4 linked regions of the Elephas maximus indicus genome follow. The protein of the gene in region 4 interacts with the protein of the main gene of each other region in a biochemical or structural test. Links are inferred from orthologs where the notes say so. Each region holds a gene or a part of one and is shown on either strand. Other genes may lie near its edges.

What was found.
Region 1: the proteins of PTEN (region 4) and RPL23 form a complex in vitro, tested with the Homo sapiens proteins (2 studies listed by BioGRID). The link is inferred for Elephas maximus indicus from reciprocal best matches to the Homo sapiens genes PTEN and RPL23.
Region 2: the proteins of PTEN (region 4) and PDGFRB form a complex in vitro, tested with the Homo sapiens proteins (2 studies listed by BioGRID and IntAct, with this or other methods). The link is inferred for Elephas maximus indicus from reciprocal best matches to the Homo sapiens genes PTEN and PDGFRB.
Region 3: the proteins of PTEN (region 4) and TUFM form a complex in vitro, tested with the Homo sapiens proteins (2 studies listed by BioGRID). The link is inferred for Elephas maximus indicus from reciprocal best matches to the Homo sapiens genes PTEN and TUFM.

The regions. Positions count from the first base shown.
Region 1 is NC_064837.1:46,393,727-46,400,736, forward strand, and holds the start of RPL23 (60S ribosomal protein L23), read right to left. Parts: upstream 3,011-7,010; 5' UTR 2,952-3,010; coding exon 2,939-2,951; intron 2,359-2,938; coding exon 2,275-2,358; intron 2,245-2,274; exon of another isoform or gene 2,109-2,244; intron 1,992-2,108; coding exon 1,863-1,991; intron 1-1,862.
Region 2 is NC_064820.1:165,347,734-165,355,564, forward strand, and holds the start of PDGFRB (platelet-derived growth factor receptor beta), read right to left. Parts: upstream 3,019-7,831; 5' UTR 2,355-3,018; intron 1-2,354. UniProt on the Homo sapiens protein: Tyrosine-protein kinase that acts as a cell-surface receptor for homodimeric PDGFB and PDGFD and for heterodimers formed by PDGFA and PDGFB, and plays an essential role in the regulation of embryonic development, cell proliferation, survival, differentiation, chemotaxis and migration.
Region 3 is NC_064830.1:88,835,886-88,842,876, reverse strand, and holds the start of TUFM (elongation factor Tu, mitochondrial), read right to left. Parts: upstream 3,004-6,991; 5' UTR 2,932-3,003; coding exon 2,889-2,931; intron 2,787-2,888; coding exon 2,592-2,786; intron 2,165-2,591; coding exon 1,998-2,164; intron 1,729-1,997; coding exon 1,624-1,728; intron 1,534-1,623; coding exon 1,369-1,533; intron 1,229-1,368; coding exon 1,096-1,228; intron 1,008-1,095; coding exon 903-1,007; intron 788-902; coding exon 636-787; intron 532-635; coding exon 412-531; intron 1-411. UniProt on the Homo sapiens protein: GTP hydrolase that promotes the GTP-dependent binding of aminoacyl-tRNA to the A-site of ribosomes during protein biosynthesis. Also plays a role in the regulation of autophagy and innate immunity.
Region 4 is NC_064834.1:38,515,045-38,523,025, reverse strand, and holds the start of PTEN (phosphatidylinositol 3,4,5-trisphosphate 3-phosphatase and dual-specificity protein phosphatase PTEN), read right to left. Parts: upstream 3,011-7,981; 5' UTR 2,992-3,010; coding exon of another isoform or gene 2,969-2,991; coding exon 2,907-2,968; intron 1-2,906. UniProt on the Homo sapiens protein: Dual-specificity protein phosphatase, dephosphorylating tyrosine-, serine- and threonine-phosphorylated proteins.

The sequences.
Region 1 (7,010 bases), on a different chromosome or scaffold from region 4:
GGACTGATCAAGTTTTTAATCATGGGATACACACTGTGTGGGAGCAAACTAATATTTACCAAGAACCTCTTCTGTTGGATTCTTTTCTACTTATAGCCCTTTTAATTCTCACAAACTAACCAAAGGCCCTAAGTAGATAAAAAAGGCCAAAACCCCAGGTCTCTGGACTTCCAGTCCTGCCCTTTCCACATCTCTGTGACTGTTCTACTTAACACCAAGGTAATGTGATTTATTTTATAAAAACAAAAACCAAAAAAGACATTAACAGATTGGAAATGCACAAGTATTTTTTAAGACTGTTATGTGTTTTCTGGCCTGTCCCACCGATTGAGACCAACAGCACATCCTGCTGCCATCTGACCCATAAAGCACTGGTCGTCTTCCCTGACGGCTATCCAGGCCACCAATCAGGCCCAGCAAGTGTTCTGAAAAGCGGAAAGCCTGTCCAGTTGCATCCTGATTCTAACTCAACACACTGACTCTTCCAATGCTACTTACTCCTTGCCTGCCAAACCCTCAAGAGAATACTAAAGGTGAATGAACTAAGATTTCTGAACAAGAAGCTAACGGTCTAGTGGTAGAATACAGGTATACAGGAGTAACTACAATACAGTCACACTTGTCCTGTATGTCAGGGATGGTTAGGACTTCTCTGTAAGGGCAAGATATTCCAGGGCAGAGACAGACTGTGCCAGGCAGAAAAGTTCAGGAGCTGGTAAGTTAAAGAACACTAAACATCTAAAACTCTAAAGCCAGATAGGACATCACAAGTCAGAAGTGCTCCCATGCCTCCCCCTTTTTTAAATTTACCTATCTGGCAAGAAAAGCTGTTCTGGATCGTAGCCCATGATAAGGCAATGAACAGCTCATTGTTTTAGTTTCTATCAGAAGAGATTTGAAACACATCATGCCAAATTTTCAAGCCACGATCTTGATTTCACCTATAAGTAAAACCTGTGTTACAGCAAGGAGAATAGCATGTTACTCTGGACTTAAAAATGCTAGGTAACAGGCCAGATGCTCTACATGCTTGGCAGTTCACCACGTGACTCTCACAACCACTGGAGAAAGAATCACTATCCTTTTTAAAATTAGTTAATTCCAGAAAATCACTTACGGTGACATAAGTCTCAAAGCTGTGATTCCACCCATTTAGTTCTAAATCTTCTACCAATCAAAAATATGGACACGTATTTACTGTATGCATACATATTGGAAACCCTGCTGGCCTAGTGTTTAAGAGCTATGGCTGCTAACCAAAAGGTCTGCAGTTCAAATCCACCAGGCACTCCTTGGAAACCCTATGGGGCAGTTCTACTCCATCCTATAGGGTCAGTATGAGTCGGAATGGACTTGACGGCAGTGGGTCTCGCTTAGGGTTTTTTTTTTTTTTACATATTTTTTAAAATACCCACCATGTGTTAAGCAATGTTTATAACCAAAGAATAAACTAGTCATCTGTTCTCACGGAACTTTAAGTATAACTGTTTAGGGACAAATATCATAAAATACCATAGTAATTACCAAACAGTTTTTTGTGGGTTGGTGAGGGAGATGTCAATACCAAAGTGAGCTATAGATTTAACAGTGAAAAATCACTGGATTACAGTATTCCAGGTAGGAGGCACGGCAAGTACAAAGGATCTGAGGCTGGAAGTACAGGTCTGGAGTGGGAATCCCAAGAGACAGGGCTTTTGTTTGTAAAAGTATAGGAGGGGATCAATTAAGTCTACTAAGCTTCTCTTCAAAGGAAATCAAATTGTTAAAAGGTCTTAAGAACTATATTGTTTCATTTCCCAATAAAGGGAGTAGTACTTCAATTGTCTACCAGGAGATGAGAACGATTCTGTCTCTTTACTTACCCTTCTTTCTGAGTTCTGGTTTCCCTTTCTTGACGGTAGCCATCACCATGTCACCCACACCAGCAGCAGGAAGCCTGTTCAGTCGCCCCTTGATCCCCTTCACAGAGATGATATACAGATTTTTGGCTCCTATAAAAGAATGTAAACAAAAATCCCATTTTTTCAGGGCCTATGTAACATTTTCCTAACACCCAGTTCAAAGCCTCTCCACCCGTTCACACAGCAGTTAGTCCCCAAGGTGGAACACCTTGTCACACCACCGATTGAAGCAAAACAACACAAGATATTGCCGCTTCACCCAAAAGCAGTGTTTTTATTCTGCCCTTTCTTGACGGCTCAGTGGGTCACTGGCAAAAGCCCCAATGAGTGCTTTTAAAAGGGGGAGTGCAACAAGGCGTGCTTAAGCTCTCACCTGTGTTATCAGCACAGTTGATCACAGCTCCTACCGGAAGACCCAACGAAATCCGGAATTTTGCACCGGAGGACCCACCACGTCCTGTGAATAGGAAGGGAAAGGAACCAGGAGAAAGATAACTGAGAAGACACGGTTCAGACTTAGGCTCACACTCTCCCGTTTTAGGTTCGCCCGCGCAAGTACACTATAGGTTGGCTCTCTCTAGCCCCCTCCCCATGTGCCACCTGTTCTCATGGCAAATAATCGATTCCTCACTAACACTTTTAATCAATTTTAGAGGGCCTGGACAACTGAATCTTTGCTCCAACCTTTGCACCACACAGTCCCTTCAGTAAGACGGGAGACTCCACAGGTCGCCCCATCTGGGAATCACGATCGTCGAACTTTAGCCTCATTACTTCAGCGCTACGAGCGTCGTGACCATCGCGCTAGGTTTGGTCTAGAATCAGGTCGGGATCCTACTTAGGTCAACGCTCCACAACGCCCTCCCCTGCCCCCGAGCCACTTTCGGGGGCCCTCCCCAGCGCTCTCGCGGGGCCCCGCCTCTCTCTCCGGCCCGAGGAGAGCGGAGTGCCCCAGCTGCCCAGGGCCGTCATTACTGGCGACGCCAGCAGTCACTGTGCGACAGATGGCGGAAGATTGGGAAAAGACGAATCCTCACCTCGCTTCGACATCTTGGACGCCGGAAAAAGACAGAAAGGAAGTAGATACAAAGGACACTGGGATATGAACTTTAAGGTCCCACCCACTCTCCTGTCACGTGAACCGGAGCTTGTTAGGCCCGCCTCTTTCCCCAGGGCGCTGCCTTATTACGTAATAAGTCCTGGACCTGCGACTAAGCCTCCCTGGGAAGTAGGGGGTGCAGGTTTTAAGAGCTGCGGAAGCTGTTGAGACCTGGTAGAGATCAACTCTACGAGTTCGAAAGTAGTTGGGAACGTAGAAACATTCTTAATTTATCCAACAACTCTTTTGCGAACTTTATATACGTCAGGCACTTCTCCAGACACTAGAGTGATTAAAAGGCTATATGTGCTGTGAATTAGGGCGTAGGAGGGGGAGAACTTTAAGCAGTTTCATTAGAAAGTGTTAAAATTGAGAAGTGCCATTGTAGCGCTCCAGCTCCATTCATTCTTCATACAGTGGCCAGGAATAATTTTTCAAAAATGTAACTATTACCATATTGCTTTCTTAAAATTCTGTTTCTATTGCTTCTAGAATAAAAATGAAAATACATTGCATGAACTCAAAAAATGGACCAAAGATCTAAATATAAGCTAAAATCATAAAACTGTTAGAAGAAAACATAAGGGTCAATCTTTATGACCTTGGATTTGGCAATGGATTCTTAGATAACACAATAACAGCAGAAACAAAAAGTAGACTTCACCAAAATTAAAAACTTGTACATCAAAGCACATTATCAAAAAGAAAAGACAAACCTAAAAAATAAAATGGTGGAAAAATATGCAAATCATATACTGATAAAGGTCTAGTGTCCAGAATATATAAAGAACTTTCATAACTCAACAACAAAAAGACAACCCAATTCAAAAATGGGCAAAAAAAAAAAAAGCAAAGGAAGACATATATATAATTTTACCTCGATACACTACCCTGCCTACCCCTATCACCTATTTCACATCCTCTCATTTTTGAAATCTCAGTTTAAATGTCACTTTTTTTAGAAAACCTGCCCTGATCCTTATACTAGCTCAGGTTCCCCTGTTATAAGCTCTCTTAAAAACAACAACAACAAAAAAAAAAACCTGTTGCTGTCGAGTTGATTCCAACTCATAGTGACCCTGTAGGACAGAGAACTGTCCCATACAATTTCCAAAGGGCGCCTGATAAATTCAAACTGCCGATCTTTTGGTTAACCGCCGTAGCTCTTAACCGCTTCACCATCAGGGTTTCCAAGCTCTTAGTACCCTATATTTTTTCTTCATATCATCTATTACAATTCTTAAATATGTATTCGGTGATTATTTATTTAATGACTCCCCCACTAAGTTTATAAGCTCCATAAGGGCAGGATCCACGTCTTTTTTGGTCAACAGCCTTTCCCCAGTTCTTAGCGTAGGGCCTGGCCTCGCTCAATAAATTTATGTTGAATGATTGCTTAATAAATGGAGAGGTCTACCTCAATGGTCTCCATACATCGGCATCCTTCTAAGAAGTTTTCACTTTTATTTGGGATTATGGTTTTTTTTGGTGTTAAAAATGTTCCAGTCTTCCTCTCCAGCCCAGACATCTCTGCTTAGCTCTAGACACATATTTTCAATTGTTGATTGGGACATCTCCACTGCTCAGGCACTTCAGACGTACCATGACCAAAACAGGAAGAATCATTTTCTCCCAAAATTTGCTCTTTTGCCTGTATTAGCTTTCTTGGTTGGTGCTACCACTACTGTTCAGAAACCTAGGACATGACTGGTTGTCCTCTTCTCGTTTTCTCCCCCTAGGCTCCCAGAGCTAGTCTCCACGGGTGTTTACTTGACTCTACTTCCTGAATTTTTCTGTCCATGACTCCCAATCTGCCCTCGGTTCAGGCTCTCATGTGAACTATCGCAACTGCCTCTGAAAGGTCTGACCATAACCTCCCCTGGCTTAAAACCCTGTGCTGGCCCTCCAGTGCTTGGGGAAAAAAGTCCAAGCTCCTTAGCATAGCACTGGAGTCTGTTCAGGAACTGGTCTGTCTGTCTCTCCAGCCTCATCTTCCATTCTGCCTCTCACACTTCATACTCTAGCAACCCCCAACTGCCTAGGATTTCTGGACACATTCTTCTGCTTCACACCTCCTTGTATCTGTGCGTGCTCTTTTCTGCTTTACCCACTATGAGTTTTTCAACACTTTGCTCAAATGTCACCTCTTCCCTTTGCCATCTCACAAACCCAGCATTCTCTCCCCCAGAACCACCTCTTAGATCAGCGGTTCTCAAATATTTTGACCTTAAAAACACTTAACACTCTTAAATTATTGAGGGCCGCAAAGAATTTTGGTTTATATGGGTTCTATCTATCGACATTTACTGAATTAGAGTTTAAAATTGAGGAATGCTTAAACGTTTATTTATTAATTGAAGATAACAATAATCCTGTTAATCTAAATAACATTTTTGAGTGAAAATAATATTTTTCTAAACAAAAATAATTTAGTGAGAAGAGTGGCATTGCTTTATATATTCGAGGAATCCCTTTAACGTCTGGCTTAATGAAAAACAGCTGGATTTTCATATCTGTTTCTACAGTTAATTTGTTGCAATATCACCCTTCACGTAGAAGTACCACTGTATACTCATGAAAGAATGAAACAGGCAAATAATGGGTGAGTATTATTATGAAAATAGCTCCTTTTTCCTGGAAGACTCACTAAAATAGTCTCGAGATACCTGAGGGTTCTCAGACCACACTTGAGATACCAGTGATTTAGAGGATGAATGAAATGTTAGAGATACCACACTGTACAGTAATTTATTTGGTTGTATGTTGATCTGATGTTAGAAGGTGAAGCTCAGGAGGATAAGGCATTTTTATTCCTTTCTGTATTCCCAGAGTGTTTGAAACAGAATACTTGCTCAGTTGTATACACCTGGGCGATGGAGAAGTTTGTTTCCTGGATTGGAGGATCTTTTGGGGGTTTTTTTGGTTGTAAAATTGTCAGCGGGGTAAGCAGCGCTAACTTTTCTCTGTTCCCAGAATTTCTAGTTGGTTCTGCCTTAAACTGCGTTCACTCAATATCTTCCATTGTCTTCCATTTTGTTCATTTGAGGATGACTAACCAAAAGCAAACCAAACCCCCAAACCAAATCAAATTTCAACTCATAGCGACCCTATAAAACAGACTAAAACTGCCCCCATTGCGTTGCCCAGGCTGTAAATCTTTACCGAAACCACGGACCTGTCACCTGGCAGCCGAGCGCTCAACTGCTGCACTGCCAGGGCTCACTTTGAGGGTAGATAAGATACGTAGTCTTTTATAAAACTTGAAGCTTTAGGGGGCACCCGGATTTGAACCGGGGACCTCTTGATCTGCAGTCAAATGCTCTACCCCTGAGCTATACCCCCTCTGCTGGAAAGCGTTAGATTACAGCTTAATTGTCATGTCTCCTGAACGGACAGTGCCTCTGGTAATTGATAGCAGCTTAATACAAGTAGCCCTGGTGGCCAAGTGGTTAGAAATTTGGCTACTAACCAAAAGGCTGGCGGTTCAAAGCCACCAGCCGCTCCTTGGGAACCCTGATCTAAGAGGCCGCTTGGTCAGAATCGACTCAACAGCAACGGTTTTGTTTCGATTTTTGGCTATAATTAACTACTTCAGGTTTCCCAGGGCCAGAAAAAAGAGCGGATGATGCTGGAGGGGGGAAAAAAAAATCACAGAGGCTGTTACGCTTTTGTCACTAAACAATCTGGGCCCAAATGGTGGGAAAGTAGGGAGAAGTCGCTTCTGACCCAGGCTTAAAGGTCCGTGCCATGTGCAATGGAGTGTCTCTCCGCCATCACTACAGCCTTTTCTACTCTGGCACCTGGGAATTCTTTAAGTCTACTTTCCATCCTCTCTGCATGTAACCTGATCTACACTGAATCCCCAACCCAGTGATTTGCACACAAGAGGAAGTGTTTCTCTCGCTTTTCCTAAGACCACCTCTGCTCCCATCCCAGACTTGCCCCCATTGTCTCTATTCTCCCCGGTATCTTCAATCACCACTCCACCTCTTTCCAGTGTCAACAGGTTC
Region 2 (7,831 bases), on a different chromosome or scaffold from region 4:
GTATCCACTGCCTCTCAGATGAGGGAGCAGCCCAGAGAGGGCACAGAGGTTGAGGCTGGCCACACAGCGAATGTGAGTGGAGTGGAGCCAGGACCAGTACCGGATCTCGTGATGCTGAATCCACGGTGCTTTCCATTGTCCCACATCTGTGGGCAATTACAAGTCCCAACTCTTCTTCCCACAGAAACAGCTGCCACCCCCAGAGGAGGGAGGCTGCCTGATAACCATGTTCAAGCAGTAACCACTGTTCTGAAAGGAGGATGCCAAACAGATGGTCCCCTTCCCCATTCAAGACCAAGCCAGGGCCTGGGCAGACCTTGAAGCCAATCAGGCCTGAGGTTAAACTTTCTGTGGGGGAAGATGCTGACGCCAGGGTCCAGCCCTTGGAGAGAATGGGAACTCTCCCCCTTCTGACCAGCGGCTCCCTGGTAGGGTGGGGGTTAAGACTTTGTATTCGGGCAGACTATGGCTCAAATACCAACTCTACTAGCTGTGTGACCCTGGGCAAGTCACTTTAGCCCCTCTAAGCCTCAGTTTCCTCATCTGTAAAATAGGAGTACTCCCAATACTGATGTCAAAGAGCCGCTGAGTATTACAAAGTGTGTGAGGTACCAGCCTCTGTGCCCGGCATGGGGCAAAGGCTCTATGATGGTGATCAGTGCAGTGGTCACATCCATGAATGCTATGGGTCAGGGTGCTCCTATTGGAGGCAGGAGAGGCCTGCCTGACCTCTGCAGTTCTCACTGGAGACCTGTGTGCTCAGGGATCACAGAAGTAGGCAGGGACTCCCCCACACCCCCACCCCCCACCCCCATTTGAAATAGGGAAATGTGATCTAGAGGAGCCCTTGATGGCCTGGAAGGGCATGTGAAGGAAAGCAGGAGGCTTGAGTTCTGGCCAGTTTCTCCTCCTTTTCACCAGCACATTTTCTCAACCCTACTGCCTGCCCAGGGCTGGGCAGTGGGGACAGAACATAGATGAGGAGGCCTGGGGCCTGAACACTCTCTGTCATGTGGATGGACAGAACACAAACAGGAAGAGAAGGCCAAGCAACAAGGTCCCAGCATGTAGTGCGCAGCAGTGGCCTGGGAGCTCAGAGGAGGGAGCAAGCTCTGAGGACTGGAAGGGCCCAGGAAGGCTGCCTGGAGGAGGCAGGACTAGGGAGGATCCTTGAAGGAAAAGTGGAGGTGATAAGGAAAGACATTTCAGGCAGGAGAATGGGGAAGGCAAAGGCTCACAGGCAGGATCATGCAAATTCCTTCTGGGATGTCTGAGATTTGACTGAAGGAACAAAAGGCCCAAGTTTGCAGTAACGGGGGTGGAGGGTCAGTACCTTTCCAAGGTCTGCCACTTACTAGCTGTGTGGCTGTAGTTATGTGGCTACCATGAGCCTCAGTTTCCCTGTGGGTAAAGGGAAGGGAAAAGCAGTCCCTGCTTCTGGGTCTGCTGGTTACCGTTAAATGAGATCACTCTCATAAAGCACTCAGCACAGTGCCTGGCGTGCAGTAAGTGTCAATCAGTGGCAGCCGTTGTTAGAAGCCGGGGTTTTCTACAGGTACTGAGGAGCCACAGAAAGATTTTGAGCAGGAAGGTCGCCTCACCAGATTTATATTTTAGAATGGAATGGAAAAGAAGCCAAGCCCTGAAACGGGGAGACAGCAAGGAGGCCCGAGCAGTCACTTGGGACCCAAGGAAAGAGTCCAGCTGGCTAACCCCCTCTTTACAGGAGGCCCCCAGATCTGACAGCCTGGTCCCAGACCCTCAGCCCCAGCTGCAAGACTGCTAGGTTGAGCCTGCCCCCAGCCACGGTCCCCGGTCCCCTTCATTCTCGAACTTTCCCAGTCACTGGGGGTTTGGAAGGACATGTTAGGAATCTGGAAAATTTGCAAATCCATTTAAATCCCCAGAGGTTGCCTGGTGGCTGACTGGCCTAGAGCCAAGGCTTAGGCCTGGGGGCAGGGGCAGTGGCCCTGAGGTCCCTAGTCCCCTGCTAGGTCCCCTTTCCATGTACCCTACATGCCATCCCCCAGTTCCACTTTCTCGCCCCTCCCAGCTCTCCCCACCTCTTGTAGACACCATTGTGCTTTGAAGGCCCCCACTTGGCACCAAGAAACCTCTGGGGTTTGTTTAACTGGGGAAGGGCAGCACAGTTGGGAAGGCAGGGACCACCCCCCTCCAGAAGCGGCCTGAGCAGAGGAAAGGAGAAAAACAGCTCCTCCAGCCCTGACATTGTCTTCCGCCTCCAGGCCTCCTCCCATATGGTTTTGTTAAAAATAGTTTTCATTTTTTTGAGGCTCAGGCTGGGACAAGGGGACAGGGCAAGGGGCTAGGGTCCTCCCTCTCCCGGCACTTACCTTGCTGCGGTGTCTTCTAATGTTAGCACAGTCCCAGGCTCTGGGCTGCCACCCCCTCCAGGAAGTCCTCCTCACTGCCCTCTCCCAGTTATCTGGAGACTTTGCTGGACTCCAGACTGCCAGTGGCTGGGTAGGGGGGCAAGAAGGGTGGCTGTAGACCAGAGCCTCGGGGAACAAGAGAGTGGGGGGCTGCAGCGGTAAAGAGCAGCCCAGCTTCGCCTCACTCCCAAAGCATCCTTCCGTAGGAGTCAAGCTGCCAGGAGGGGCCGCCCTGGGTCTGGCTGGCTGGGTCGCAGGGCACGGGCTTCAGTTCCGCGGCTGCTCTGAGGGGCCAGGCTTCCTCTTCCTCGGCGTCCTCCTCCTCTCTGAGCTGCTCACGGAGCGATCCCGGATCCCAGACAGGGCGGGTAGGGACTGCTGGGCGGCTGGCAGCCCCAGGAGCTCACACCACCGTGGGCTTCCCTGCTTCCACCGCCCCCTCCACTTTGGGGGAAAGGCCGCAAGACGGCTTCTGATTGGCCTAGCTGGGAGAAGGGGGGCGGCAGAGCAGGGAGGGTGGACGCGTGCGTCTGTTTTCAATTTCACTTTTTTCCCCCCTCTCTTTCTTTTCCCCAAGTTTCTTGTTTTTCTTCCTCTTTTCCTTCTTCTTACTCCCTCCCGTCTCCCGCTCTCTCAGGACGTGAGGGGATGTTTAGAAATTCCGAAGCCCACGCCAGCCAGTCGCTGAGTCACTTTTATTAAAAAGTGGCCCGTCCCCATTTGATGTTTGTCACCAGTGGCCTCTCCTTGCCATGGCACCTGGGGGGGCGGCTCTTCTGTGCCTCAGTTTCCCCATCTGTAAAGGGAGCTCTGATAATCTCTATGATTGATTCAGTCAACATTCATTCATTGAACAAGCATTACTGAGCATCGACTATGTGCTAGGCACTGTGCTAGGCTCCAGGGTGCGGTGGTAAGACACAGTCCCTGACCTCAGGGAAGCTCAGACTAGTGGGAGTGACGGACAATGTGCAAACAGGTACCCCACGGGAGGACAGGGAGCTGGGATGCATTTTAGAGGGCACCTAACTGATGATTGAGGAAATTAGAGAAGAGATGAAAAGACTCTCCAGGGTTATTTGTTACTTTCAGAAGGAGAAGCTAAGGCCCAGGCATGGCTTGGCACAGAGAGGGAAAGCAGTTTGCCCAAGGTCACCCAGCACACTCCAGATTTCCAGACATGTTTCTTTCTATCATCTCAGAGCCCCTGGGGTACCAGGGAAGGATTATTTGCCCCTTTTGTAGGTGAGGAAACTGAGGCCCAGAGGAGAGAAATGAGTTGCCCAAGCTCACACAGCAATGGCAGAGCTGGAGCAGAGTTGGGTTTCATAAGTTACATGATCAAAGTTTCACAGGTCATCTGACTCTGACCCAACACCCATATTCCAGTGTAGACCAGCCCTCCTGCCCTGCCTTCTTCCTAGGTTACCTCTTTCCTTGTCTCTATTTATTCAGTCACTCAACAAGTATTTTTGAGTAGCTGGTATGTTCCATTCTCCTGCCTTCCTTCCTCACCAGGGTCTGCTCCTGGTCTCCACATTGGGCTTTTCATCCCCCACACTCATCTTCCATATTTACCTCCTCAGCTCAGAAGATGGCAGACTCCTAGCCCTTCGATGCCAAGGGGCATTATTTGAAAAGGGCTTAGAGTTAAGCTAAGCCAACCTGTGCCTCCACTACTATACACGTGGGGGACCTGAGGACCAGAGAGAGGAAGAAATGTGTCCCAGGTCCACAGGTACAGCCTGCCTATGCCCAGAGCAACTTCCACTATGTACTCTGTACTTTTGTCTACCCCCTTCTCCTCCCCACCCCCACCCCAGATCACTGTTCATGGACAGGGAAGTTGCTTGAGCTGGAATTCCAGGCCAACTGCAGTAATCTATCTTGAAACCATTTCTTGGTCTTGTTGCAAAAGGGATTCCCCAGTTGGGCATCTGGGCTGGGCTGCATAGAGGAAGAAGGATCCACAGACTGGCCCAGGCACATGACGGGGACTGTGAAAATGTCCCAAGAGAGAGAGCCTGGAGCAGGGCTTGGTGGCAGCAGATTCATGTGAGAGAACCCCAGAGGCCACAGGGTCAGGCATCATAGGGACTGCTTGTGCCCAAAGACTTCACCAGGAATTTACAGCTCCACTCCTAGCATTTGCTGGCCATGCGCCTCTGAAAATTTGGCCCAACTGCTGGGGCCAGGAGAGCTCAGAGGGAGCAATGGAGCAATGGAGCTTTTCGACTCCCTTCTTCCCAGAAAAGCTGGTCTGGAATCAGGATACCTAGTCTCAGACCTATTGAGTGACCTTGGTTAGGTCCCTTGGCCTCCCTGAGCCTCAGTTTCTCGATCTGTACCTAACAAGGGTGGACTCACTGTGCTGGAAGGCCCTTAGGATGGTCTGTCTGCAGTTCCCCTTAGAGCTGGACCCTGGCTAAATAGAGGAGGCTGGGGGGCCCCAGGGCAGGGGGACAGCTGGGGGCCAGCGATGCAGTACAGAGGGGAGGGGGCGGCTGGTGGTGGCTCCCCAGGGACACTGGCGGCAGCCAGTTTCCGGCCAGCGCAGCCATCCGGCTGGCCCATCTGGAAGCACTTAGCCCCTACCACCATTAACCCTTGGTGGGCACCAGGCTGTCATGGCTCCTCTCAGCTGAGATAGGGGTGGGTACTGAGCCACAGAGAGCACCACAGGGCACTCACTGAGGGCTGGACAGTTGGGACAAAAGGGTGGAGATTGACAGGGAAAGTTCTAGAGCCAGAGGCAGAAAAAAAGGCAGAGCTGCGTTCAAATCCCAGGTTCTCCACTTCTAAGTTGCATGACTTTGGACAAGTCACTTAAACTCCTGTACATTTGTTTCCTCTTTTGGAGAATGGGGATGGATAATAAGAGGGCTAACTCGTGAAATTATTGTGAATTTGTAATGTATGTAAAGGGCTTAGTACAGTGCCTAGAATGTAATCGAAATAGTGAGTTCCCCTCATTCAAGCTGCGTCCCATCACTGTGTGCTCTGGGCAGAGCCCTTCCTCCTTTGGGCCTCAGTTTCTCCTTGTGCACTCTGAGGGGCTGGGTGGGTGTCATGTGGGCAACGCAACACTGACATGCTGAGGTGTTCACCATGAACAGCATGTCACGAGCATTCTCCCACCCGTCCAAATGCTGGGCGCCCAGTCCTCCCCTGCTCATGGCCTCGGGCCATCCTGGGCTCAAAGTGGGTGGGCAGAACATGGACCTTGGAGAGCCCTGCCTGAGGTGGACTGGAAGGGGGTGCAGAGGGAGAGAAGAGCTCTGGGCCTTCGGGTTCACTACCACCTCCCCAAAGAACTAGTGGTACTGCTCAAGGGTTAAGAGCCTGGGCTCTGGGGTTGGCAGTTTCAAGCCAGCTTTGCCACTTCCTAGCTGTGTGACCCTGGACAAAGTATATTATCTGAGCTCTCTGAGCCTCAGTTTCTTCAACTGTAAAAAGGGATAAATGTGCCCACTTCAAGGGGTGGTTGAGAAGCCTGAAAAAATGGTTCACAGAAGGTGTTTTGTGCAGGGAGCAGAGCAGAGTAAGAAAGCTCCACCCGAGACCACTAGTTGTCAGGGGTCACCAGGAGCTGCTGTCTCACAAGTCCACAGTCAGGGCTGGAGGAAGCTCTCCAACCCGCTCATTTTACAGCCCAGGTGACTGAGGCCCAAGGATGGAAAGCTACTTGGGCAAGGCTTTCCGGTGTGTCCCCGGCAGCACTGGGACTGGAAGCAAGGCTTTTGTCTAGACTCTCGGCCCCCTGATCTTCCCTAAAGGAGGGAACCAGGCTCAACTGACTCCTCTCCTAAGACCCTCACCCACGCTTGTTTGAGCCGGAAGCCGTAGTGCTCAGTGGGGTGGAGGGAGAAGGAGGGGGGTGCCCGGAAAGGGAGCCTGAGTGGGAGAATTCCCAGTAGGCCAGCTCAGCACTCACTCAGGCAGGGCCAGCGGCCACCACATCTGGCTCTCCCACGCTCCCAGCTGTTGGCCCCTCCCCAGGCTCCCCCATCAGGAGGTGAGGAAGCAGCACACACATCCCAGGCATCGAAGCAATCATTTTGGATGTCAGGGCCAGAGGGGCCCTAAGAATGTGTCTATTGTACAAGCATGGAAACTGAGGCCCTAAGAGTGGAGGGGACTTGTCTGAGATTAGTGGAGAAACAGAGGCCTGGAATGCAGGACTTCTGACCCTCACCTCACTACCTTTTCACCAATTCACCCCTCGTCCAGGTAGATGCTTGTATCTACAGTCAGGGGGCCAGAAGAGGCACAGGGAGGGAACTGCTTTCCCACCTCTCACCCACCTCTGTCCTCTTCTCAGTGCCCAGTGACCATAGGGAACTGGAGTGTGGCCTTTTGGTGCACACAAATGGCTCAAGGATTATAAGAACAGTAGAACCCACTGGACGCACTGGGTCCTAACATCCAGAGAGGGTCAGAACCTGCTTGAGGACACACAGCAAGTTTAGGATGGGGCCTCTGACTACCAGGCAGCCCTGTTCCTCCAACTGTCTAGCCATGCAACAGAAATTAGTTGAGCACCTACTATGAGCCCTGCCCTCATCGAGCTCACCAGCAAACACCAAGGAAACCGCAAATGAAGTCATAATATCAAATTCTGAGAATTGTGATCAACGAGATGTAAGGAATAATGGGTTAAGTGGATAGAGATCCTTGTTTAGGTAGAGTCAGGCTTCTCTGGGGAAGACACATTTCAACTGAGACCTGAGAGGCCACGCACGATGCAGTGCTAGTGGTGTGAGGTGTGAGGGGGAACAGTGTTCAAGGCAGAGGGAACAGCATGTGCCAAAGCAGGAAGGCTGGAAGGAGCTTGGTGTGTATGAACAGAAACAAAAGAATGGCTGGAGCATGAGAGGGCTTATGGCGGGGTATAACTCTGGTGAGAATTCAGGTCGGGCGTTAAGGCTTTGTGGGCCCCAGAGAGAAGTCTGACTTTCAGCCTAGTGGTTGGCGGGGCCACTGCAGAATTTTGGAGGGTGGGCTAAAGGGGTGGAAGGTGAAGCAGGGGCTAATGTTGTTGGTGTTGACTATGCCCAGCCTCCCTACCCATCTAAGAGGCTGCAGGATTGGCATCCCCACAGGGAGCTGGAACTTCGGGTCCCTGTCCGTGCTTTACTACAGACTCACCGTGTGGCCTTTCTTTCTTTCTGTGGCCTCTGTGTCTCCTGGGAACAATGAGTCAGATGTGGTGTTCCTTCTGATGAGGACACACTGTTCCCTTTGCTCCCTAAGTGGGCTGTGTACCGGAGAATGAACTGTCCCCCTGCCCTAGGCTTCTGTTTCCCCACACGGAGAGGAATGAATGGCATTCCATCATTACAGAGACTAGCCAACATTGAAAGTTCCCTGAGTGACGCAAATGGTGGCTTGCTCTCAACTTCTAACCTAAAGGTTGGCAGTTCGAACCCCCCATGGAA
Region 3 (6,991 bases), on a different chromosome or scaffold from region 4:
GACAAAAAGAATGAATGGGACAAATGATACCAGTGTTTCCAAGGTATATTCTTGGAAAAAAAAGTCTAGGAAATTTTGGGTTATACAGGTTTCTTAGTTGCAGGACTTCTCTGAGCCCTCATATACTGTGAAACTTAAATAACAAGAGGGTTCTTTCCTAGGAAATCTTTCTGGAGATAAATGCTGGTATAGCTAGCTTTTAACCTACTTCAGCCTAGGGCACACTGGGTGAGGACTCAGTTCCTCTAGATCCACTAGTCTAGACCCTCCCATCTACTTTCACCTATATCAACAGTCAGCCTCTGGCTGATCCACAGCAATCAAGTCACCCTAGTTGTCACATTGTATCTTTTGAACTATGAATGAGGCAGAGCTGGTGTCACTCCTTCACACTTCCCTATACCCACATACCTTCCCTGGGGGCAAGATGACACGACAGGCCATGTCCCAAGTCAGGGAGAACATGACAGGCATGAAGTGGGATACAAAAGGCTTGTGGCGGCCACCCTCCTCCTTGCTGAGGATGTAAACCTGTAGGAGAGCAATGAAGGTGCAGCTGGACTTGACTAGAAGCACTGCTTCCATGCAGGGGACAGTGTGGCTTAGCCCTGCCCACCATCAGCTGGAGCCCTCACCTGGGCCTCCACCTTCTGGTGGGGCTGGATGGAACCTGGCTTAGCCATGACCAGGCCACGCCTCAGGTCCTCACGCTTCAAGCCTCGGAGCAGGGCTCCAAGATTATCGCCTGCCTCTGCCCTTTCCAGGCTCTTGTGGAACATCTCAATGCCTAGAAAAGAAGAAAGGAGGCAAAAGGGACAAGGAGGAGTACCTGGGTTAGAGGAGAAAGCACGAGGAATTCACAAGGTGAAAGGTCAGCTCCTGGGTCCCAAGGCTTCCTATACCTGTCACCACAGTGCGAATGTTCTTGTTATGTCCCAGGAACTCACACTCGTCTCCCTTTTTCAAAATGCCACGCTCCAGCGTACCTGTTACCACCGTGCCCCGGCCTGAAAAGGAGCCGGAAAGGACATCAGGGACGCTCGGCTAAGCTATTGCTGGGGTAGAGGGTACAAACAAGCATGGTCTGGTCCTCACCAGGGACAGAGTAAATAGATTCTACAGGCATGAGGAAAGGCTTCTCCAGGTCTCGAATGGGCACTGGGATGTAAGTGTCCACAGCATCCAGCAACTTCTGCACTGACTTTAGGCCTAGCTCAGGGTCACGTTGCTGTGAAGGGAATTGACAGGACTCTTAAAAATCCACTCTGCTCCTCTTACCAAGCATCACTCTCTGGACTCAGAGCAGAGCTCTGCCTGCCCATCCAGCCTCATCCTCTGCCAGCAGCCCCCTACTGTCCCTATCCTCACCTCAAGGGCACAGAGAGCAGAGCCTACAATAACTGGGGCCTCCTCCCCTTTGTAGCCAAACTCAGTGAGCAGTTCCCGGATTTCCAGCTCAACTAGCTCCACCGTCTCAGAGTCCTGGACAGCATCTGCCTTGTTCACATACACCACAATGTACTCTACCCCGATCTGTAGATGGAGAAAGATAACAAGGGATGGTGTCCAGAGTGGCCCAACGGCCACTCTTCCCCTTTGCACCCCACCTGAGCTCTTGAGTACCTGTTTGGCCAGTAATAAGTGCTCTCGGGTCTGGGGCATGGGGCCGTCATCGGCTGCCACCACCAGGATACAGCCATCGAGGGGAGCGGCGCCTGTGATCATATTCTGGGTTGGGGGAGGAGAGGAAACACTCAGCCAAGTTCAGTGGCCTCCTCGGCTCCATATCCATCTGACCAAGCACAGCAATTGAGAACTGAGGCTCACATTTCCCTTCCATCTCCTCACCCCCCAACTTTGAGTCATCATGGCCACAAATCCATAGTCTCAAATACCTACATCTCAGTATCATAACCTTCTCTCCTTATGCCCACCATTTATCCTGACAGAAGGCAGCTCCTGGTCCTCTCCCCAGAGGTCCTCAGTAACTCTCTCACCTTAATGTAATCTGCGTGGCCTGGGCAGTCTGTGTGGGCATAGTGGCGGGCGGCAGTGCTATACTCCACATGGGCTGCGTTGATTGTGATACCCCGAGCTCGCTCTTCCGGAGCATTGTCAATCTCTTCATACTTCTTAAACTTGGCCCCGCCGCCCTCCTCTAGAACTGGAGGGAAGAGACACACCTCTCAGCTAAACTTCCAAGGCTACGGGCAGGGCTCAGGCCACACCCCTGAGCCCCTCCCACCTAAACGAATGAGTCTGGGAGGATAAAAATTCTGTAATCCCTCTCCCTCCAATCTCCGATTTCTCCAGCAGAGCTAACTTTGCATCAGAAAGGGCTATTACAGTCCTCAAGGTCCAGCCCTGCGAATTCTCCAGGGGGAGGCAGTTCAGGGTCCCCCAATTCATGCATCAAAAAGTTCTTCAGGTTAAAGGGAAATCTGCATCTTCCACTCTACCGCCTGCCCGAGTTCTGGTTCCCAAGGCCACACGAAACACGTCCAGCAGCCGCTCAGGGGCCCAGTTTCCTGGCTCCAGGTCCTGTCTCTAGATCGGGCACTACCGGACGCCCCCAGCCCATGCCCGCTCACTCTTGGTGATGGCCGCTGTCAGCGTGGTCTTGCCGTGGTCCACATGGCCGATGGTACCCACGTTCACATGGGGCCTATCGCGGACATAGACCTTCTTGGCCTCCACTGCCAAGCCTCGACACAAGAGGGGCAGTGCCGGGGCCTTTGGCGGCCACAACAGGCCCTGCAGTAGTGAAGTCGGGCCGGCGCCGAGACCTGCGGGACAGAGGCTTGGAGTCAGGACGCGGATTCGAGCCCGGCCACCCCCGGAGCACCCTACGGGTCCCCAGGCTGCCACCGCCCTCCCTGCCCCCTCACCGCAGAAGCGGGGCGTCGCGCGCAGCAGGGTCGTGGCCGCCATTATGGTGGTGCAGGCGCCCCGCGTACCGCGTAGCGGCAACCCGCGCGTGCAACAGCCAAAGGACACTTACTGCTGAAGTCACTTCCGGCGGAAGTGAGGGCCGAGAAGGCGAGTCCGGGCGCCTCTAGCCACCAGTTTCCACTGCTTTCTCCGCCGACTTCCGGACACAAGGCAGAGGACGTCGGGAAAAGTGCAGGTGTCTCCGGGAGGGGAAGGGTGGAGGTTTCCGCGATGCGATCGGGTCTAGCCGCCTGACGGGCTATGTTCTTTTCTCAGGTGGCACCGGTGGGCCTTGCATTTTCCAAGGCGGAGGGTTTAGGGTGGAAGTCAGGTAGGTCCGCGCCGGGTCCAGAGGGTGTAGAGGCGGCCTGGGTGCGGACTACTCAAGAAAGTCCCGGGCCCGGCGCAGAGAGGTCCCGGATCCCCTGGATTCCGACCCACTGCGCGGTTCTCGCGGCCTTCGAGCCGCAATGGAGGTAGGACCAGGTCCTGGACGCCTTTCGGGGCAGGGGCTCCAGTGTGACCCATCTCTCCGCTGAGCCTTTGTTTTCTTATCTGTAAAATGGGAATAATAGTATCCATTTAATAGGGAGATTCTGACATCTGGACCTGAGAGGAAATGAGCTACGCTGAAGTCAGGGATGGGGTCTTGGGACTTCCAGCTGGAACAGTCCCTGCCCCTCAAATATCTGTCCCCACCGCACCCCCGGTTCTGTACTGGCTGACCTCATAGGGTCGGAGTCCTAAGACAAGGCTCTGTCGTCTACTCCTGTAGCCCCTTCTGCGGCCCAGGGGGAAATTCCCTTGTCTCTCTCCTCCCCCACCCCCGCCCCCACCTCATTTTACAGATAACATCGAGGATGAGGGACCAGCCTGAATCTTGTTCCTGGAAGTGTCCCTAGCACCCAACATAGGGCAGGGCACATAGTGAGTGCTCAATAAATGTCTGTTGACTGACTGACTGACTGAAAGAGTAGTAAATAACCTTTAGCTCTCACATCCATCATCTCATCGCAGCATCCGACATCAGCCTGAAATAATAAAACCAAAAAACCAAACCCACTGCTGTCGAGTCTATTCTGACTCGTAGCAACCCTGATCCTGATTAACGTTTCCAAAACTTACCCGAACCTACGACTCAATAGACAGCACTTGTTTCAAATCGATTCCCTGATTGCTCCCTTGGAGATTATGATTCAGTGGAGTCTGGGCACAGGGTGTAACAAACACCTTGCCCTCCTCCTTCAGCTGAAAGGAGTTTGGGAAAGGAGTCTGAACTAGAGCTTTTTATGTATCAAACGTTGTGCAAATGTTCTATATTGATTCACAATCAGTGTTCCCAGTGTTACCTGATGTGTGGTCAGATCTGTTATTTTCCCCATTTTACAGGTGAGAAAACTGAGAATCAGGGAGATGAAGATTAACCCCCCCAAACCTCAAAAGCCCTAAAAACATGTGCTCTTAAGCACTGCACTGTACTATTATTTAATACATTAAATTATGTATTATTTTACAGATTGCTCAGATAAAGTGAGGAACTTGCGTCTTTCTGGCCCTCCAACCCATCATTTCTGCCTAAAAAGGGCTGGTATAAGTATGGAAATGTTTTCTTTGTCTTTTCTGTGCCCCTCAGTCACTCCGCTCCTGGGAATTTATCCTGAAATACTATCAGCCACTGGTGGGGGTGGGAGTTTTTTTGGGTGACATATGAACTAATGGTTTCTATGCTAGTGGTACTGTATTTATTTATTACTTTTTAGCAACTTTAATGAAGTGTAACTTACAGTAAATGGCACATATTGTCCAATTTGGTACGTTTTGACGTGTTTTTGAGCCACAAAACCATCACAACAATCAAAATAATGAACATGTCTATCACTCTCCCCCAAACATTTCCTCATGATGCACTGTAATCCCTCTCTCAGCCCCCGATTTCTCACCCCCACACCAGCCCTCAGGCAACCTCTGCTATGTTTTCTGTCATTGTCTATGTATGTTATTTCTATCATAAGTGTATTTACTGATTGATTTTTTTAAATATTGAGTTTTCAGTGAAGGTTCACCTAGCACTTTAGGCTCCCATTCAACAATTTCTACACAAGTGGTTCAGTGATACGTAAATGACTGAGGTTTGAGAAACAGTGCTAAGAAGAGGGTCCAAAGGAAGAAAAACTTTTGTGGCGCTGTTGAGTGTAGCATATTCTGTAATAGTAAATCGATCAGTCAGGAATCTTGATTTACAGATAATTTACATTGACTGGTTTAAGCAGGGGAGGGATTTATTAGAGAGTATTGGGCAGCTTACAGATTTGTGGGGAGGACTAGAGAGATACTCCCAAGCCATAGGACTGACAAATAAGAAAACTGCTGCTGCTGTCACTGCCACCAAACACGAAGTGCCAGGACTTAGACTTGTCTGCAGCAGCTATTGCTGGAAACACTGAAGCCATGTTTGCATCATCAAAGTGATCATCCCTCTGCCCCCAAAGCCAGGCAAATTCAAAGTCTCACATGGATATGTCTGATAGAAGAAGCCTAGATCATATGTCAAGGTTCTTGTATCAGAGGAGGCTGAGATGTAGTCTTTGATATTGGAGAGGCAGGGCTGATTGCAAGGAATTTCTCCAAATGTAGAAAGTCTAAAAGATGCCCACCATACCGTTACTGAACATTTTGATCAAAGATTCTATAGAAGAATCCTGAACAAAAGGGAGGAAATGCAGGACAGATTTCACATTCTCATGGAATCCAGACTTTCTGGAGTCATGGAGGCTGGATGAACCCCTGACATTATTGCCCTGAGATCTTTAAACCTTAAACCAAAAATATCCCCTGAAATATTCTTTAAACCAAACATTAGTTCAGCTTATTTAGTAAAGAATATCTGCCTTCAGCATTTTGCTCTTTTAAGAACTGTCTACATAGAATCAAATTGACAACAGTAATTTGAAAGATAGGAAACTCAGGGGGCAGTGAGTTTGTTAATGGGGAGGAACAATTCAGAAAAGGAGGCTGAGAATGGTTATACACCTTGAAAAATGTGATCAGTCACTGAATTGTACATGGAGAAATTGTTGAATTGGTTTATGTTCTGCTGTATATATTCTCAACAACAATAAAAAGATGTCCAGCCCACATGAACCACGGCCTCTTCTAGCCTGAGACCAGAAGAACTAGATAGTGCCCAACTACCACTACAGACCATTCCGACCAGGGACACAATAGAAGGTGCCTGATAGAATGGGGGAAAAATGTAGAACAAAATTCAAATTCCCAAAAAAGGCCAGACTTACTGAATCTATAGTGATGAGAGGAACCCCTGAGACTATCACCCTAAGATACCCTTTGAACTTGAAACTGAATCAATTTTTGCTGGGCACCTTTCAGCCAAATAATACATTGGCTTATTAAATAAAGAATATCACCCATGAGTAATGTGCTGCCTTAAACAATTAACCCTATGAGACCAAATGGTCAACATTTACCAAAAAGCAAAGATGAGAAGGCAAGGAGGGGAAGAGAAGCTAGATCAATGGAAACAGAACAAACAGAAGGGAGATAATGAGGTTGCTGACACTTTGTGAAAATTGTAACCACACAGAACAATAAGTATAAAAATTGTTAAAGGGGAACCTCGTTTGCTGTGTAGTCTTTCACTTAAAACATAATAAAACATTATTTAAGAAAAAAAAAGTCCAGCCACACCTGTCACAAATATTGTAGTCAAAGAGTGGGATAGACACGAATGTCCAGTATGTGAATATGGTGGCATGAACTGTGGCATAGCCACTAGGTGAGATATTAATGGGGTAGGCTCAGTGTTGCAGAGATGGGGGAGCCAGCCACCTGTGAAAATGTTTGTGACCAATGTTACGGAGCAAGGAAGAAGGAAGGAGCTACTCCATGGGAACCTACTACAGAAAAATAGCCTGCGTACAAGGTCGGGGGTGAAGGGGTAGGAACAAAGGAAGTTGAAAACAATGTGACTTTAGAAGGCTGTGAATTTGCTTGGAGGAGGAGATTTTTCATATTTTGTGTGACTGGAGTTAAAGGAGAATTC
Region 4 (7,981 bases):
CAGGAAAAATATGGAATTAGAGAAGAAAGGTAAAAATAATTTTAACATTCTTTGGATAAGCCAGTAGAGAGGGTAAGATAAAATCCAACAGAAAATAGCCTTGTTAACAGAAAAGAAAAGGTGTAAGAAAAGAAACATTTTTTCATTGAGATGTTACATAACACTACCCTTTGAACCAAAAACGGAGTCACTACTGAATATTACTACTATGCCCAGTATCAAGTGAATAAATCAAGGTTCTGGAGACAGCAGCTCCCTTGGAGAGGTTAATCCTAACACGCAAATTACTTGGGAATTATTTATTTTCATTTTAGTTTATAGGAAAAAAATTTATCTTCCTTTTCAGTCATATTCATCCACCCTCTCATAAAACAGGGGGAAGAAGGCAATAAAAGCCCCCAAAGCCTTATTTGCCACTTACCTCTCAATCGGGATGGGGGGAAAAAAACAAGGACAGACAATAGCCATTATATTCAGCTGACAATTCTTCATTTTGATACACTATTAACCTTACCATAAAGGGTGCGAAGACCAGTTGGCTAAAGTAGCCATTAGTTAAATAACAGTCCAGACACATATAATTTTTTTAGGAATAGCAGTTTTGAAAAAGTAATACAGCTTGATAGAATAAACTACTTATGATAAATTTCATCCTTGGTTACTGATTACAAACTGAATGTATGAATCTTTTAATTCAGAAGCATATGGCAGGTTATAAAATGAGAAGATTTGAGACCAAAATGATTCCCAGCATAGCATTTTCTTGGTGAAGTTATTACAATCTAAGGTCTGATAACCAGTTTGTACAGGCTCAGAAACTGGACTTTATCAGTAACCCAAAAGATGATCAATTAGCCTAAGTGACTAATTCACAGTCAGAAGAGACTAATTCATATTCAAAAGAGGCTAATGTAAAAACTAGCACACCAAATTAATTTACCACAAGGATATATCTTTACAGTGATCAGAACACCTGTCCTTTATTCAGAGCGCTCACACCCTTTTTCAGTATGAGTACTAGCCTGTGTTGGCTGAATGAGTAGCTGGTTTCATACAGAATCAGAGTAATCTGAAGTAGCTCATTTTGTGAGATATTTTATCCAGGACATATCTGGGCCTGATAAACACGCCTGCAGCAGAGGATACTTGGCTGGTGATTGTACTGCTCCTCTTCTAGATTCTCCATCTTTCTCCATTCAACATTTACCTCTCTGATTCTTTTTTGTTTTGTTACATTTTCTTTAGCTGTTGTTACTATCACTGACTAAATTGTATCAAGTTCCTGCTCCCATGTGCTGGGATGTTTAGCATTCTTCCACTGGGTCCTGCCTAATGAGAAGGCAGATTTATTTCTGTATCTTCAAGATCTTGAGTACTACCTCTGACACCCCTATGTGTCACCTATAATTTTAACAGAAATTACAAATAAGATCTTTGTACACAATATAAAAACTACAAAATCCAATTAAACACAAGTCAATACCAATACGGCAAAAATGTAAACATACTATTGTTTAAAACTAACCACTTAGAAAAAACAACTTTATGGGGGCTTGGATAAGGGCCTAGGTAGACTCATAAACTCACACAACTATTATAAAAAGATTCTATATCCACATAGTGCTTTATAAATCACAAAGTGCATTCTCACCCATAACATTTAATTCTCATAACCAGAACAATACTTAAATTCAAAGTTTCCAGGAAAGATACTTATGAAAAAGGATAAAGGAAATAATCCAAAATGTTAACTTTTCAAGTCATCAAAGTTTCCACTCACAATTTACAGATAATTTATTCAAAAATCTTTTCTCTAAAATTAGAAAATTAAGACTTTACAAAGCAGACATATATTCCTTCTCTCATAAAAGACAACATGTATTCCTGGGTCACAAATGTATTAAGGAAAGTATTTAAATGGGCCTTGTGAAACACATTGTTCTGAACTGAATGATAATTACTCAAAAAATTATGTAAAGTTATATAAAACTGGCGAAGTTAGGTTTTGGTGCATCCAGCAATTCCTTTCTATAGCCCTTGTACCATATACTTCTTCAGATGCTTGGACCACTTTAAAAAAACAAAACCAAATCCACTGCCTTCAAGTTGAATTCTGACTCATAGCGACCCAATAGGACAGAGTAGAATTGCCCCATATAGGGTTTCCAAGGCTGTAAATCTTTATGGAAGTACACTGGACATCTTCCTCCTACAGAGCAGCTAATGGGTTTCAACGGCCAACCTTTCATTTAGTAGCCGAGCATTTAACCACTGTGCCACCAGAATTCCTTTTAGAGCACTTTGGGGGAAAAAAAAAAAATATTGCCCTCGAGTGAATCCCAACTCACAGCAACCCTATAGGACATAGCAGAATGGCCCCATAGGGTTTCCAAGGAGCGCCAGGGGAATTCAAACTGTTGACCTTTTGGTTAGCAGCCACAGCTCTTAACCACCACACCACCAGGGTTTCCTTAGAGCACTCAGACCCCTTTAAAATCTGCTCCACCTAAAAACACATGCTATCAATGATTTACACCTTAATTTACATGCATAAACCCACGCAAAGATTTTAAGCCTAATCTCCAAATGTGAAAGGCGAAAATCATATTGTAATGAAATCCAGGCATTAGTTAACCTGGGAAGAGGCATTTTACAGTCTATGAAATACCACGTTGTGTATAATGCCTGACTGGTGTAAGGTCAATTCTTATTAAATGGTTATCCCATCGAGGTCCACTGACACATTAAGCAAAAAAAAAAAAAAAAAAGAGCTACACAGCACCACAATAAAGTTCACACCACAAAGCGTATCTTCTTATGTGCATTAGAAATCTTTTCTAAATGAAAATACAACATAAATGTAATAAATACATCAATATTTGAAAAAGAAAATCAAGAGTTCTTACCTTACTACATCATCAATGTTGTTCCTGTATACACCTTCAAGTCTTTCTGCAGGAAACCCCATAGCAATAATGTTTGGATAAATATCTGAGTATCTGAGTTAAGGAAATATCTGAAATATGCACAAACGCAAAATGCATATTTTAAAACAGTAGTTATAAAAAAGCAAGCTTTCCATACCATAGCTACATTAATATAAAGTCATCAAATGTATTTATTTACAAACCAGCATGTGTAATTAAGAAATATTGATAAATACATAAATGAAAAAAAAAAGTTGAAAATAAATTACTTGGCAAAATAATTTCAAAGTCCTGTACTTAGTACATTAAAAGTGCATCTAAGGTAAAATGTAACTTCATATTTACAGTATTTAGGCATACATACCAAAAACCTTAGACTTTGTAAATCACAGAACTAATATATTGAGTCAAAAACAAAAAAAATCTGCATATGCCTAAAAACACTTAATTTTACAACTTCTTTTTTTTAATTTTTCATGGTTAAAAAAGGCATCACAATGTAGAGAAAAGTAGATAAAATGAGAGTCAGGGGGTGAGATATAAGAGTTGACTATGTCTGTAACTAGTTGTGTCATTTGGACAAGTCATTTAACCTTTCTGGGACTCAACTTCACCTATGTAAGCAGCCCTGAGGCACAATGGTTGCTAACCAGAAGGTTGGCAATTCAAACCCACCCAGGAACTCTGCAGGAGAAAGACCTGGTGATCCGATCCCATAAAAATTACAGCCTAGAAAACTCTATGAGGCAGTTCTACTCTGTGACACAGAGTCACTATGAGTCAAAAATCAACCCAAGAGCATCTAACAACACATAATGGGAAGACTGAAAAAGACATCCACTAAAGTCTCTTCAAGCCCTTAGTGTCTATGACTTGATGACACTAAACTGAGGTAGTCAATGTAACCAATACTTTAAAAACAAAATCATTGCCGTCGAGTCAATTCGAATCATAGCAACCCTATAGAACAGAGTAGAACTGCACCATAGGATTTCCAAGGAGCTACTGGTGGATTCGAACTGCCAACTGCTTGGTTAGCAGTCAAGTTCTTAACTACTGCACCACAAGGGCTCCCTAATCAACACTTAGCATGCCCGTTATATTCACTTATTTTACACACTATACCCACCCAGTGCTGTCGAGTCGATTCCAACTCATAGCTTACACACTATAGATGACATAAAACAAACCTTTAGATCACCAAAGAAAATATACAAATGGCCAGTAAGCACATGAATAAATGCTCAACGCATTAGTCATCAGGAAAACACAAATCAAAACCACAATGAGATACCACTTCACTGCCACTAGGATGGCTAGCATGACTATTATCAAAAAACAGAAAATAACAAGTGCTGGTGAGGATGTGGAGAAATTGGAAGCCTCATTCATTGTCGATGCGGTTGTGAAATGCTGTGTTGGTGAGGATGTGGAGAAGTTGGAAGCCTCATTCATTGCCGACGGGGTTGTAAAATGGTGTAGCTACTGTGGAAAACAGTTTGGCAGTACCTCAATAAATTACATACAGAACTACTTTATGACCCACCAATTCCACTCTTAGGTATATGCCCAAAAGAATTGAAAGCAAAAATGCAAACAGTACTTATACATCAATGTTAATTGCAGTATTATTCACAGTAGCCAAAAGCTGGCAACAACCCAAGTGTCCATCAATACATGTGGTATACACATACAACAGAATCTTATTCAGTCATAAAGAGAAATGAAGTTCTGATACATGCTATGACATAGATGGACCTTGAAAACATAATGCTAAGTCAGACATAAAAGGACAAATATCGTATGATCCCACTTGTATGAAATATCCAGAAGATGCAAATGCACAGAGAACAAAGTTAATTCGTGATTACCAGAGACAGCTAAGAGGGAATAATGGGGTGGTGCTGGGGGGCTGGGGGTGGATTGCTTAAGGGGTACAGATTTTTGTCAAGGGTGATTTTAAAAAATTGGAAATGGATAGTGGTGATTGTTCTACAACATGGTGAATGCAATTAATGTCACTGAATTGCACATGTAAAAATGACTGAAATGGCAAATGTTTTGGCATACATATTTCACCACAATAAAAATTAAAAAAAAAAAAGACACTCAAATATCCAGCTGTAAAAAAAAAAAAAAAACAAGTTCTACACATTTTGTCCTTCACACCACTTTTTTTCTTGAGCTCCATCAATCCTCTGTAATCTCAATTTTCCAACACAGACCTTTCACTCCATTCAACCTAATTTGCGTAAAACTTCCCTTAAAGACCATTCCTACTCCTGGACCTATTCATTGTATATAATTCAAAATCACCTAATCTAGTGGCCTTCCTTAAGCTTTTTTCTTTTACTTGCCGCTTTCTTCACATTGACTTGATTTCAACATTAATCTCAATCCAAAAAATAATTACCAAATGACAATGATTTTTATATTACAATTTAAGAAAAGGCTGTATGTGCTTTATGAGTTCTATTTGTAAGATTAACCAGTTACCGTTGAGTCAATTCTGACTCACGGCAACCCCACAGTGTGTCAGAGTAAAACTATGCCCCATAGGGTTTTCAAAAGCTGATTTTTTTAGACTGCCAGGCCTTTCTTCTGAGATGAGTCACTTCCAATCTTTTTGTTAGCAGTCAAACGTGTTCACCTTTTGAACCACCCAGGGACTCTCTGTAAGATTACTGTGTGCTTACTGGAGTCCCCAAGTGGTACAAACAGTTAACAAGATCGGTGCTAACCAAAAGGCTAGGGGTTCAAGTCCACCCGGAGCTATCTCAGAAGAAAGGCCTAGCACTCTACTTCCAAAAAAATCAGCACTGAAAACAATATGGAAACTTGTATACCATGTTCACTACAGCACTTTCCACAGGAGCCAAAAGATGGAAACAACCAAACTGTCCATCAACAGACAAACAGAAAACAAAATGTGGTACATATATACAAAGGAGTATTACTCAGCTCAGGAGTAAAGAGAAATAAAGTCCTGATGCATATCAAACATGGCTGAACCTCAAAAACATGCTCAACGAAATAAATCAGTTGCAAAAGGACAAATACTGTGCCATCTCACTTACATGAAATAAGCATATACATAGAAGCCAACGTTTACTAGTGGTTACCAGAAGTGAAAGGGAAGGGGGGAGTTTCTGCTTAGGGGACACTGAGTTTATGTTACTAGTGGTGGAACGATTTGGAAAAGAATAGCGAGAATGGTTGCACAACTTGAAGAATGTAATCAGTGTCACTGAATTGTACACGTAGAAATTGTTGAGTTGGTGTATGTATTGTTACGTATATTTTCACCACAATTTTTAAAAAATGGAAGAACCAAAACCCTATGGAACACAGTTCCACATGGGGTCACCATGAGCTGGAATTGACTTGACGGCAAATGGTTCTTTTAACTGGTGAATGATTTTAAGATTCAGGATTTTTAGTGTTAAATAGATAACATGAATTAAAAATATCAATATGAACTCATGTTTGTAAAATTCTATATGTTCTAGGTCTTTTCAGAGAAATGGCCTATGAGCAAGGTCAGCCTAGCAGCAATAAGCACTCCTAGAATTCAAAGTTTCATCTGCTTGGAGAAATAGCTGATCCCAGGTCTGACTCAGGCAAGGTACAAAGTGAGCCTGGGATAACTTTCTGTGCCAAAGAGCAAGGAAGGCTCACAGAGATTAATGATCTTTGCCAAAAGGACACAGGAGCTGGCATGAAGGAGCTTCCATTAAAAACCAAACCCTTTGCTGTTGAGTTACAGAGACCCTGTAGGACAGAACTGTCACATACGGTCTCCAAGGCTTTAATTTTTACGGAAGCAGACTGCCACATCTTTCCCCTACAGAGGGGCCAGTGGGTTTGAATCACCAACCTTTCGGTTAGCAGCCAAGCACTTAACCACTGTGTCACCAAGGCTAGAAAGAGCTCCCAATGCCTAAAATTACGACAATTTAAGCAACAAAGAAAAAGATGAAATGATAGTAAATTTAAAAACCCATAATAAAATGAAAATCCCAGAATCTATAATGATACTCAAAACAGTTAAAAATACAAATCAAAACGAGAAGAAACCCTTTTCATTTATTACATTTTGAGTAGCTACTGGAATAACTCTTTACTCTGAAAACTGGTCAAGGGGAAGATTATTTATCCTGCTTTTCATGGAGGAACTATATTTCAGAGTAACCAAACAGCTCTACTTCATAAGGTAAAGCTCTACTATACAGAAGAGCACCAGTTAATAAATGTAAAAGGAAGGACAGAACTAGAAAAATCACATTTTGCAATCACTAATGTAATTACTGATGTAGGCAAGGATTAACAAATAACACTAAGCCAGTAGGTGAGTAGTTGATGAGGAACTGACCTTTCTTATTAAGCCAAATAGCATCACACAAAACACTTTCGAACATAAGGAGACAAACACAACTGAACAGTAGGCAGAAAAGACTATCATCACCCAATTTCAGTAGTCAATCTCAGCATCACCAAGTGAGTCAAGTACAGATTATGTAACTTCCAATGTGATCCAAAATAAAAGACACATCATCTACGATAGCCAAGTATCTTGAACCTAGATCCACCAAACCTTTATATATGAAATCTAACTTACAGGAAATATATGTGGAAGAACAATCTAAATGATATTATTAAGAAGTAAACTGGGCAGATTCGAAAGGCACCATATGGTCTATAGGATAAGGCTCTGTCTCTTCAATAAGTCAGTATTTCAAAAGATGGGTTGGGAGAGTCCAATGTCTAAAAAGACTTAAAGGTCCCTGCACCCAGGTGGCACAAGGTACGATACTGGTATGAATATTGTTTTGCAACAAACCAGACAAAAAGGACATTTTTAAGCCAACTAGACATATGTAGATAAAAAGGATATACAATAAGACATTAACACAAGCAATCTCTAGATGGTGGGAATGTATTTTTTTTCTTTCACATTTTTTGCCTGTTTTATATTTTTTATTTTTGCTATAGCGTACCTGGCACTGTTTCTATAATCAATTTTTTAACTTGTTCGCTTTATAACTATTTCCAAG